Linked DNA regions of Saccharomyces cerevisiae S288C. The protein of the gene in region 1 purifies or fractionates together with the protein of each later gene. This does not show direct contact. Each region holds a gene or a part of one and is shown on either strand. Other genes may lie near its edges.

Region 1 (7,798 bases):
CCACAAAACAATAAGTGAAGATAAAAGAGCCTAGTGAAGTAAACTAATTCAAATGAGGTTCCAGCTTTTCATATATTTTTATTTCACCATTGTTGTGATTGCAGGAACTAACACAATACAACAGTTCAGCGATGCGGGCGATAGGTTAATCACATCATTGAGAAATCTGGACAACAATGGAACATACGAAACATTGACAGCAGAGAAGGTGCCTATTATCGAGGGACAAATTCAAAACATTAGTGCAAAATATGAGCAGCATACTTTTATTTTGAAGGGCTTAGAAGCGGTGCTAAATTATAAAGTGAAAAGTTTGGATAATAATGAGAGAGAGTCGCTCGAAATAGAATATGAAAAGGTGGAAAAGGCACTAGATGCGGCTTTGAATGTTTCACCATTTGAATATATCAAAAAGTTTAAAGAAGTCTCCAGGGGCAAGGTAGTTAATGCTTTAGAAAACCTCAGTAGAGAACAGAATCGAATTACTATAAATGGTGGTAGAGAAGACGAAAAAGAAAAAGAAGCGAGGGAAAAAAAGAAACGACTAGACAGAATAAAGAGAATCCTAACTGTAAGTCTGTTAGAATTGGGTCTAGCTCAAGGAGTGGCCGATTTATGTGCAGTAGCACCTTTTGCGTGTCTTCTTGGGGTGACAGTTGGAAGCATCGGTTTCATATTTTGGTTGGCACTAATATATAATGCTATTCAATAACTTGAACAGTTGTACTAAGGCAGTTTAAGTCCATTATACTGTGCGCATGCACCGGCATAGCTGCCGCCGCCTATTCATCCATGACTGTTTATATTTCTGTAGCTAGCTCTCTTTTCATGAAGCGCCATATATATTATTTTTTGAAAGCTGAAAGATAGAAACTATAAATAAAATAAAGCCGAGAGAGAGAAAGACCCAAATAACCTTTAATATTATAGCCTTTAATAACAATGGAATTACAACAATTATCTAATTATTCACCTGCATCCCAAAAATATTAGTCGTAGCCAAGATGAACCAATCGATGTGTGTTATATGTACCTCTGCTTTGCAGTATAAGAAATTTACATTTATTTCTGACTAATAACACCTTGGTGCCCCAACGGTAAACAACTTGTATCAGTTCTCATAAGTGCGGCCATTTTATGCAATACAGGCTGCATTATTTCACCAGCCGTGAAAATCCGAAAATTGTAGTAATTGAAAGCGTAATTAGGTTTTACTATAATAAAGTAGTAAAACCTTCAACAAATAGTAGCTCGCGTGGCGTAATGGCAACGCGTCTGACTTCTAATCAGAAGATTATGGGTTCGACCCCCATCGTGAGTGCTTTGTTTCTTCCGTGATAGTTTAATGGTCAGAATGGGCGCTTGTCGCGTGCCAGATCGGGGTTCAATTCCCCGTCGCGGAGATTTTTTTGGCTACTCCTGTAGTTATTCTTCATTAATGCTTTGTTAACCTTCCTTAGCATTAAATGCAATAGCAGCGGCTCTTCAAAGAATATGAAGTTTATTGGCGTATAATCAAGTGATAGCATTCACAGCACCGTGTTGTTAAGGGGCAATTTACGAAGAGTCTCAGTTTATGATAGTATATACACGTTAAGGTCCCAGCAAGAGCGTAGTATTTCACGTAAATATTCTCTTTTGGGTAAAGCACTGGTATACATATATAATAATAATTAAACTGAAACGGCTCACGAGTCTAGTGAGCCCATTCTAACTACGGTCTTCATCAAAGTCCTTCTCGGGCCGGGTAGTATGATTCCGTTTTCGTCTTTTGATGAAAATAAATTTTCTGCTGGAAAATAACAAGGTTAGTTTGTAAGTGTGATGTAGTATTTAGTAAATGCGCCCATTGCCTTTCAACTAGTTTACCAATACCTTTCTTAGCCACTTAGTTTACACTATACTTAATAAATTATTTCCTCAGGGTACGCCAATTAACAACACGCCTCCTAAGCACGAAATATATATAACTTATATCACTTGGCATCTAACCTAGTTGAAAAGATTTGTTCCGCAGATAAGAAAAAATGAAATGGTCTGCAATTCCTTTCCAAACATTGTATCGCTCTATTGAGAGTGGTGAGTTCGATTTTGATCTGTTCAAAGAGGTACTTCCTGACTTACAAAATTTGAACTTAAACACAGACAAACTAAAAAACAATGCTAGCCGATCACAATTAGAAAAAGGTGAAATTGAACTATCCGATGGCTCTACTTTTAAGGTCAATCAGGAGTTTATTTTCGAAGCTATTTCTTTGTCCGATGAATTAAACTTGGATGAAATTGTTGCATGTGAACTTATACTTTCTGGTGATACCACCGCTAATAATGGCAAAGTACAATACTTTTTGAGAAGGCAATATATCCTGCAAATTGTTTCTTTTATAGTCAACTGTTTCCACGAAGATACTGAGTTATACCAAGAGCTTATAAAGAATGGAGCTTTAGTTTCTAATATCCTCTCAGCCTTTAAGTTCATTCATACTCAATTATCTGAGATTAAACAACAAATCAATAAGGCTCAGATACTAGAAAACTATAATGCTTTATTCCAACAAAATATCAAGTTTAGGAGAGACTTCTTACTGAGAGAATATGATATTCTGAGTCAAATTTTATATGGTTTAGTGGATAAAGGAGCCATCATGAAAAATAAGGATTTTATACTGTCCTTACTTCATCATGTGTCAGAATTGGATTCCAATGATTTTTTTATAATATATTATACTCCTGCATTTTTCCACCTTTTCGCATCTTTAAGAGTTTTGCCCGATGCAGATGTCAAATTATTACATTCTCAGTTTATGAAAGACTTAAAGGACGACTCCATATATACCAAACCGGTCAAAGTAGCTCTTATTTTCATTTTTTTTGCTTACTTCATTGGGTGGTGTAAAGAAGACCCTAAAAGAAGGGCTGACACGATGGATTTCAAAACTGATGTTGATGAGCCAATGACTTCTGCCGTCGAACTAGGCGCTATTGAACAAATTTTAATATTTGCCGCAGATACATCTATCGTGGAACAAGACAAGAGTATGGAACTTTTCTACGATATAAGGTCCCTGTTAGAAAGGCATATTCCAAGGCTAATTCCTAAACAGTTACTTGATGATGAAAAAATTTTCAGTCAAACGACGAATTCTACCTACAACCCAGCATCCGCAACTGATAATATGAGCGGACGCGGCTTATGGAATCCGTCTTATCCTGGGATGATGTCAACCACGGGTACCGCTCGACTAAATAGTATGCCCAATAACGTCAACGAATATTCTTACACTACTATAGTTTTATCCGATCAGACCCAAGAATTTTTCCTCTCATCCTTTGATGATGTGCTTCAAACTATTATTACAGATTGTGCCTTTTTGCTTACAAAGATTAAGGATGCTGAGGAAGACTCTTTGTTGTCCGGTGAAGACTTAACTTTGGATGACATCTCACTAAAGGCTGACTTAGAAAGATTTTTTCTGTCAATATATTTTTTCTATGCATCAAGGCCCGAATATTCATGTACTTTCTGGTCTGATAAGGAATCAAACGCTTATGGTTTTATTGAGTGGTGTTCGAGATGCAACGACAACTTGATGAGGTCTTGTTTCTATTTGATGGTTTCTAGCTTGTCCTTTGGTCCTGAAAATGCCCTGAATGTCTATCACTATTTTGGCGAAAACAGCTCGATTTCATGGAAAAACATTGCACAGTGTCTCAGTGACTACACTAAGAAAATAAGCAATTTTAACTCGAGCCTCCATAAGAGGCAGCAGTTTAGTGAGTCAACTCATAACGATATCGATTCGACTGCGGTAGCCTTAGAAGAAGGCTTAAATGAAGAAGCTGTAATATTTCTGTCTTCTTTATTAACTTTAGTTGGATCAGTTACATACCAGGTTGACGAGGATGTAAAAAGCTCGCTATCGAAAGTTTTCTCAGATGTCCTATTCGAATTCACCAAGATAAATACACCTCTCGTAGGCGCTGCTTTCAAGGTTATAAGTAACTTGGTTCCAAAACTTGAATCTTCTAGAACAAAATTTTGGTCTTTTCTAGACTCTCTAATTTTCAAGGATTCATCGCTGAATTATTCATCCGAATCTTATAGAAATGCTTTTACAAACGTGTTAACAAAATACTCTGACGTTTTGGGGTTTTTACAACTCTTCCATAATCTGATTTCTATTCATTCTCGTGAAAATAATAGTGAATACATGGTTTTTGGCAAATTGGCATTTCCAACAAGATTAGGTCAGGGATATAGGAAGGTAGGTATATGGCCATATTTTGACTACATTTTCAACGACATTTTAGCGCACGTGGATCAAATTGTTGATATCAGAAATAAAAGAGCCGTCCAGCTTCCTATTTTGAAAATTATCTATACGGGCTTATGCTCTTTTGATTACAGTGTAATTTTAAATTCTATTCCTGCAGCTGCGAATTTGGATGCTTTGGTGGATTGCGAAAATTTCTTCAATTACGTTCAAGAATGCCCAGCTATCCCCATATTCAACTATATTTTCACGGAAAAGATTTACAAAAGTATATTTAATGTAGTTGATGTTGGTGTTGATCAATTGTCCATAGAGTTAGAAGGTGGCAAAAATCAGGCTGAATTGTTGCAGTTAGCTGTGAAAATTATCAATAAAGTATTGGATTATCAGGAGACATACGTGGAAGAATTATTTCCAATTGTTAAGAAGCATGGCAAGACGGATTATTTCTTGCCAAAGAATTATTCTCTTCACGGATTACGTTCATTTTACGATGCAATTTTTTTCAATATTCCACTTGTTGCACACTTGGGTTTATACGTCGGGGTCGATGATCAAATTTTAGCCACAAATTCACTGCGTATTTTGGCGAAACTTTCAGAACGCTCTAATGGCTCCGTTGCGTCTTTGTCTAAGAGAAATAAGTTGTTAACAATATTCGATTCCGTAGATGAATCAGCCAGAATAAAGGATGCATTTATTACACAATTGGAAAGCTCAATAACCGACGCTGGTGTCCTTGCTTTGAAGTTAGAACTATTAGATTTCTTAACATCAAATCTTTCTAATTATAGTCGAACGATGACTATTTCTCATCTGTTATTAGGTTTCCAGGTCTCAAACGTTATATCCCTGGGACCTAACCTAGCAACATTTATATCTTCCGGAACCTCATTACTTGATTCCCTCATAAGCGTGTTGGAAGCTTCATTGAACAGCATTACTAAGGACAATATCGATTATGCACCTATGAGATTGGCTACAGCAGCACTGGAAATTATTCTCAAACTATGTCGTAATCCGTTAACATCTGGTCTACTATATTCATACCTAATCAAAGAAAACTTTTTTGAGAGAATAATGATCCTCGATCCACAAGTGACAAGGTTCACGACATGGAACGGCTCTCCTTTTGACAATTCTACAGAGGAAAAATGTAAGAACTTCATCGAGAGCGAATCCGTTGGTGCATTTCTGTCATTCTTAGCCTACAGGAATTATTGGACACAATATTTGGGTCTGTTCATTCATAAAATTTCATTTTCGGGCACGAAATCAGAGGTTTTAACATATGTGAATTACTTGATATCAAATACAATGTATTCGGTAAGGTTGTTTTCTTTCTTGGATCCATTAAACTATGGCAATATCTGCGAACCAAAAGAGACGTTATCAATTTTCACCAATGTTCCTTTAAATTTGGAACAAGTCACTCTTAACAAGTATTGCTCCGGCAATATCTATGACTTTCACAAAATGGAAAACCTTATGCGCCTGATTAAAAGAGTCCGTGCTGAAAGCTTACATTCTAATTCCTTCAGTCTCACTGTGTCAAAAGAACAATTTTTGAAGGATGCAGATGTCGAGTGTATAAAAGCAAAAAGCCATTTCACGAATATTATATCAAGAAACAAAGCATTGGAGTTGAACCTATCTGTGCTGCACTCTTGGGTACAGTTGGTGCAAATCATTGTTACTGATGGAAAATTGGAACCATCAACAAGATCAAACTTTATTCTGGAGGTTTTTGGTACAATTATTCCGAAGATTAGTGATTATATTGAGTTTAATATAACTTTTTCAGAAGAATTGGTTTCTCTCGCCGTTTTCCTATTTGATATATATAACCGCGATCGTAAGTTGATTACCGACAAAGGCACGGTAGACGGCAGGCTATATCAGTTGTTCAAGACATGTATTCAGGGTATAAACTCCCCACTCTCCTCTGTGGCATTAAGGTCCGATTTCTATATATTAGCAAACCATTATTTGAGTAGAGTTCTAAGCGACCAAGTAGGGTCCGAAAAGGTTCTGCAGGATTTGAGACTAGGAAGTAAAAAATTGGTAGAGATCATATGGAACGATGTTGTTTATGGCGAGGGAACTAGTAGGGTTACAGGTATATTACTATTGGATTCACTTATTCAACTGGCTAATAGAAGTAAAGAGAATTTTATATTGGATTCACTGATGAAAACTACAAGACTGCTCTTAATAATACGTTCGCTGAAAAATACAGATGCTTTGTTAAATTCTACTACAGAGCACATAAACATTGATGATTTGTTATATGAATTGACAGCTTTTAAAGCCACTGTATTCTTTTTAATACGTGTTGCCGAAACTAGAGGTGGAGCTAGCGCTTTAATTGAAAATAATCTATTCCGAATAATCGCGGAATTGTCATTTTTAAAAGTTGATCCTGATTTGGGTCTAGACCTTATGTTTGACGAAGTCTACGTTCAGAATTCCAAATTCTTAAAGGTTAACGTCACCTTGGATAATCCGCTACTAGTTGACAAAGATGCTAATGGTGTTTCCTTGTTTGAGTTAATCGTTCCTATATTCCAATTGATATCAGCTGTTTTAGTGAGCATGGGGAGCTCAAACAAAGCTGTTGTTCAAACGGTAAAGGGTTTACTGAATACGTATAAGAGGCTAGTGATCGGAATATTCAAAAGAGATCTTTTGAGGGAAAAAGAAGATAAGAAAAATTCGTCGGATCCTAATAACCAAAGTTTAAACGAAATGGTGAAGCTAATTGTGATGTTATGCACATTAACAGGATATCAAAATAACGATTAAGTCATTCATTATCACTTTTAAGAATTACTTTTAGGAATCGATTTCATTTTGCAAAATATTTGGTTGTGTACTAAGTACTAAGAAGAAACTATCACAAAAAGTGGCTTTTAGTTTCATACACTACAGAAGCCTTTCTTTGGTTCTGATTTGGTGCGTATTTACTGTCTAATGAAATAAAAATCCAGGTCGTTTACAGATCGGCACGACACATTACAAAAACTTCTTGAAAAAGGAAAAAAACAAGTATGATTGAGGTGTTAAATTAATTGCAGGTTCTGAACCATCGCGTACATTTTGATACCTATATATAATTATTTAATATAGCACATCCTATGTCAAATAAGTGTAGAATAGAGGGAATTTTTTCTTTTAGATCATTTCTTTATCGAGTTGATTTGTTTTTCCAGAGAGGTGGAGTTATCGTCTAGTGACCTTAAAGCGTCGAAATGTGAATTCAAGATTTTGATTAGTTGAATATTTTCGTCTTCATTGTTTATATCGATGTTAGTGGTTTTGTTGAATGTATTACTAACATTGTTGATTTCTACTATTAGAGAAGAAAGATTGGATGACAACGAGTTTAAATTTTCGTCCAAAGTCTGGGCTGTCTTATAGGCCTGTTGTCTTTTTTGGTCATTATTGTTGGCCGCAGCACCTGAACTTGTAGACACAACATCGGACAGAAGTGCCTCTGTCTTGGTTTCAAAATTGTCTAAGAA
Region 2 (4,773 bases), on another chromosome or scaffold:
TAGATATAACAACGAGAAAAATATAGGGTTTGTGAAAATTATTGAGCATATAGATTTGGCTCTTGATGAAGAAAGTGATCCCAATGAAGCCCGTTCAGACGATGAGGATTCTAATGACGAAAACTATTACCAAAATGATTATCCGGAGGATGAAGATGATGATAGATCTATTCTATTTGGTAGCGAAGGAGAGGATATAGCTGCATTGGGTGAAGAGATTGTTATAGGGGTTAATAAGAGCAGGTTTTCCTCTTGGAATGACGATAAAATTCAGGGATCTAATGGGTACCACGATGTGGAGGAAGAGTACGGGGATCTTTTTAACAGGCTTGGAGGAAAAAGTGATGTCTTGAAATCCATAAATTCCTCGAATTTCATTGACTTGGATGGCCAAGAAGGTGAAATAGAGATAAGTGATAACGAAGATGATTCTGATGAAGGAGATGATATTGAATACCCTAGAAATGAATTTTTTCCGACGGATGTTGATGACCCATTGGCGCATCATAGGGACAGAATTTTTCATCAGCTACAGAAAAAAATTAATAGAAGCTAAATTTGCCGTCAGAAACTGTTCAATGTATGTAAGTAACTGCATCTGTAATTTTATCTTTAGATAGTAGAAAATTCATGTTTAACCGCTTTTTCACTTCATGAACTTTTTTTTCTCCGGTGTGGAAACACAAAGATTCAAAGCAAAACTATAAAAAATCACGTCAATTACTTCTGAAATAGATAGAAGAAATGCATAAAATTATTGCTGTTTACTTAAAATATAAACTTATTCTGCAATACATTAATTGATCAGTTCGAAAGGGTTGCTGTGCGAGCAACGAGATCCAGATACTCTTTTAACTTTCCACTAGATTGGAATAATAAATAAATCTTGTCGTTCTCATTAGCGACCAATGAGGTAAATGCCAGGGCTTCCGAAATAAATTTTGGGATCTTTAACAACTTTGCGGCTTCCACTAACTTTTTATGCAATTCCATCAGTAGAAATGGAGTATATAGGGCTCTAATCTCATACAGGATTTCATAATCTGCCGAATCCGCGAAATTAGAGGAAGTTAAATCTACTAAAAATGTCTTGATCAATTCAAATGTATCCTTTGAAAAACCTTGCAATTTCTCTATTAAAGTAGGAATGTTCGATTCAGAGCTTAACAAGCTAACGGATTTTTGCCATTCTTCATATTCTCTTATGCCCTTTATCAAATGCTCATATTGAGTTATTTCTTCCAAAAACTGATCTTCATTTTCATCCTTTGATATGTTATCGGCTATTTTCTCTAATTCATAATTCTTGCATATTTCTCCAATATTATTTCTCTCCATAAATTGTTCGAGAGCCTTTACGCGGCCATTTAACAAAAATCTCCTCGATAAGGCAATGATAGAGTGGACAGCGTCCACATAAAGCTTCCCTTCAATAAGCCATTCCACGCCATATATTAAGTGCATATCAATGTTGTTTACATCGAAAGATATGGAAATTTCGTTAGATGGTGAATATTCTTGTTCGGTTTCATCGAAAACACGCTGTGTGGTTCTTCTCAAAATATTTGAGGCAGGTAATCTTAGAAAGTTTATTGTCTCAATTTGCTTTTTCCTTACTTGGGGGTCCTCTAAAGAAGACAATATGAAAGAGCATGCCTCTAAGCAGTCTGACTCATTCAGGAAAGTAGCATATATTGGAATATTTTCATAAAGGCCTTGCAATTTCAGAAGACTGATATACGTAGTAATGAGCTTGGACTTATCAACCTCTTCAACAGAACCTGGATTAATTATATCAAGGCAAATGGCTAAATGTGTAACTATCCTCAGAAGATAAGGCTTATCTATAATATCGTTACTAGCTTCGGTTCCCTTGACGACATCAAGCAACATTTCCACGGATGAATGAATAACTGATGGCAAAGAATCTAGTATGACAGATGCCATTAAAACTCTGATTGGATGTTCACTTTCTGAGGGATGCCTTGAAGCCACTCTATTAAGCACCTCTTGTACAGTTAGCGCGTGTGAAGGTAATGGTAAAATCAGTTCATCAGTACCTACTTGATTGTTTTCCAAAAGATAATTTTCAATTTCAGTTTGTAAAATTTGATTTAAGTGTATGTGCAGATCAGACTCCCAATCCGAATATTGCAGAACTTCTTGGTTGGGAATAGCGCCACTCAAATAGCTGTATATCGCCCTTTCATAAGGGTCCAAACCGGCCTGCTGCGAAAGGCTGTAAACTGTTCTTCTCCACAAAGAGTGCTTCTTGATACCTTGCTGGGTATTGAATTCGTTTGCAATTTGCGTATCAATGACAGGGTTTAAGTACTCTTGTATCCCACACAGGATCATACAAATTGAAATATTGTCGGAAAGTTTAGCTTCTTCTAATGCTTCATCAATCGCACCGGCCAAAATTAGTTCGTAAATGTATTTGAAGAAAATATGATCTTCTTCTTTATCTTTAACATCGAGGACATTAGTGTTTTCTCGTAAAGGAAAATCCAAGTCACAGCTTTTCAATCCTCCAGAAGTAATACTATTTAACCATTTTGAAGTTGGTACATTTTTGGGTCTTTCCATCACATATGTATTTTCTTTGAGCCAAACCATCACTATCCATATTTGATAAAGTTGTTTGTTGTCTTGCATTAATTTCTTTTCAAATAAACCCCTCGAGTTATAAGGATGAAGTTCCATTTCATCTAGATCAAGATCAGCGTTCCTGAAAACCAGTAACAGTTCTACTAAATGCCAAAATCTAGCTTCCAGTTCCCAATCCTTAGAAGATATGACGTTACTTTCATCTCCAGAATTAGCCAAATCTAACGCAAGCTGCCCCGCGGCTGAGCGAAACTCTCTTATGATGTTAAACGGGTCAATGGGGTTTTGCTCATTATTTTGTTCAATTTTGAATTCCTTTAAAGTGTCTGAGAACTTTGTGAAGCGTTCTGTTTGATAAGTAGGGGATAATTCCATTTGAAATGGCTATGTATTTTACTTCGAAGTAGCACTCAATTGGTTTTCAGGTTGAATTAGCTGATATACCTCGTTTTCGGACTTGCCTAAACAATTCAAATGTCGTATGTATTTGAGCATTTGGTCTAATTTTTCATATTTTCTTCACCGAAAACATCACTAAATACGAAAAAGTTGGACCAGCATAGCTTTTATGAATGCAATGGATAAATCATTAAATAATAAGTACTATATAGCCATATATGAGTTATGAAATTCACCTTCCTGAGTAGAATGTATGTTGAATGATACAGATTATAGCGCTGTAAAAAAATTTGTGAAAAACGTTTATACGCACAACCATTCAGCAAAAACGGACCACCCAATACCAGAGTCAGCGATCACTAAAGCGCTCCAGACGCCGGGCTCTTTGATTTTAATGCTTCCTTTCCAGGTACCATAAGGAAAGTGGGGATCGCTCTTGACTAGCTCATGAACTCTTCCTGAGGGTGATTTTATTGCCATTGGTTGTTTCCTATTTTGGTTCGGCCCTTCATCACTGCTGTATACAATACCATCGGAGGGACTTTGAATAACTTCGAATGAGTACTCATTACCAACAAATAGATATCTACTCTGTGGCTCGACAATGTATAGCTCAATCTTCTGAATGCTTTCTGAGGGTATCTTGATCACAAATTCGTATTTCATGTTACTTCCCTTATGTGTTAATGGGACCATCATGGACAGTGGATGGATATTGGCAATACTCGTTTGCGTACCTCTTACACCTGAATGTATGTACAGTGAACCTTTGTTCACATTGGGTGGTAGGACTGCTTTGATTAGAGCAATTCTTCTACCAGACTCGGCTTTCTGCTTTTTGATTTGGGTCAGTGCGAGTTCCATATTCCTGTACGCAGATGAAGCTTCTTCATTATCCGTTGGAATAACCACGGATGCAAAGACTTCAACGTCATTGGGAATTTCTAAGGAGCATTCGTAGATCTCAGAATCTTCCAAAAATGATAGTGCAGTACTAAATTTGTATAACTTTAACTCATTTTTGAAAAAAGATGGAAAAACTAATGGCAGATACAATGCAGATAATTGATCGATACTAGGAACAATATGCTGCTCAAATTCCCTAGGCGGTATATGTGTGTATATCATTTCTAATGGTGCCATCAAAAAGTAGCTATTTTCTGCTTTCTTGATCTTTCTGTTATTTACAAATTCATGAATTGGGTTGGTTACATTTCCTAAAATAACGTCAATAAATCTCCATTCTTTGTTAACCAGTATTCTCAACCAGCAGTGGTTATACTTAAACTCCCAATTTATAGCACTCGGTGTTTTCAGGAAACCTATAACAATTTCACAAGTGATTCCCAATGAGTTTGCTAATTTCTTGAAAAGCCATGTCAATTCATATGGCGTACAATGCTTTCTGTATAGTATTTTCTCTAAATTTTGGGGTTCCGCAGAAAAATCTGACGTTCCATTATCATCAGTCAGAGCAAACATCTCTGTGCAAAAAATGTATATGCCTCTTAACTTTTCCAGAACAGTTGAGTATCTTGCTGAAAAAGTTGTTTGAGCCCAACTGTCTAATGTCATAGTTCCGTCTCTAATACACCGTTTCCAAGTCATCTTATCAATGTATTCTATGTTTAATTCGGCCAGTTCCACATCGACCAAACCGGGCTTTGTATTACCTTTGACTTCATTGGTATTTAGCCCGTTATAAATCGAATCTTGAGGATGTAAGATCAAGTCGCGATTTTCTTCGAGAGCTCTCATATACCT

The links.
Region 2: the proteins of NUP192 (region 1) and NUP84 purify together in Saccharomyces cerevisiae (affinity purification with mass spectrometry; 5 studies listed by BioGRID). This does not show direct contact.

Annotation. Positions count from the first base shown.
Region 1 is NC_001142.9:368,029-375,826, reverse strand, and holds NUP192 (Nup192p), read left to right. Parts: upstream 1-2,027; coding exon 2,028-7,079; downstream 7,080-7,798. Other genes in the region: LOH1 (Loh1p), read left to right, coding at 53-712; FG-nucleoporin NSP1, read right to left, coding at 7,454-7,798.
Region 2 is NC_001136.10:249,778-254,550, reverse strand, and holds NUP84 (Nup84p), read right to left. Parts: upstream 2,986-4,773; coding exon 805-2,985; downstream 1-804. Other genes in the region: IWR1 (Iwr1p), read left to right, coding at 1-556; CYK3 (Cyk3p), read right to left, coding at 3,313-4,773.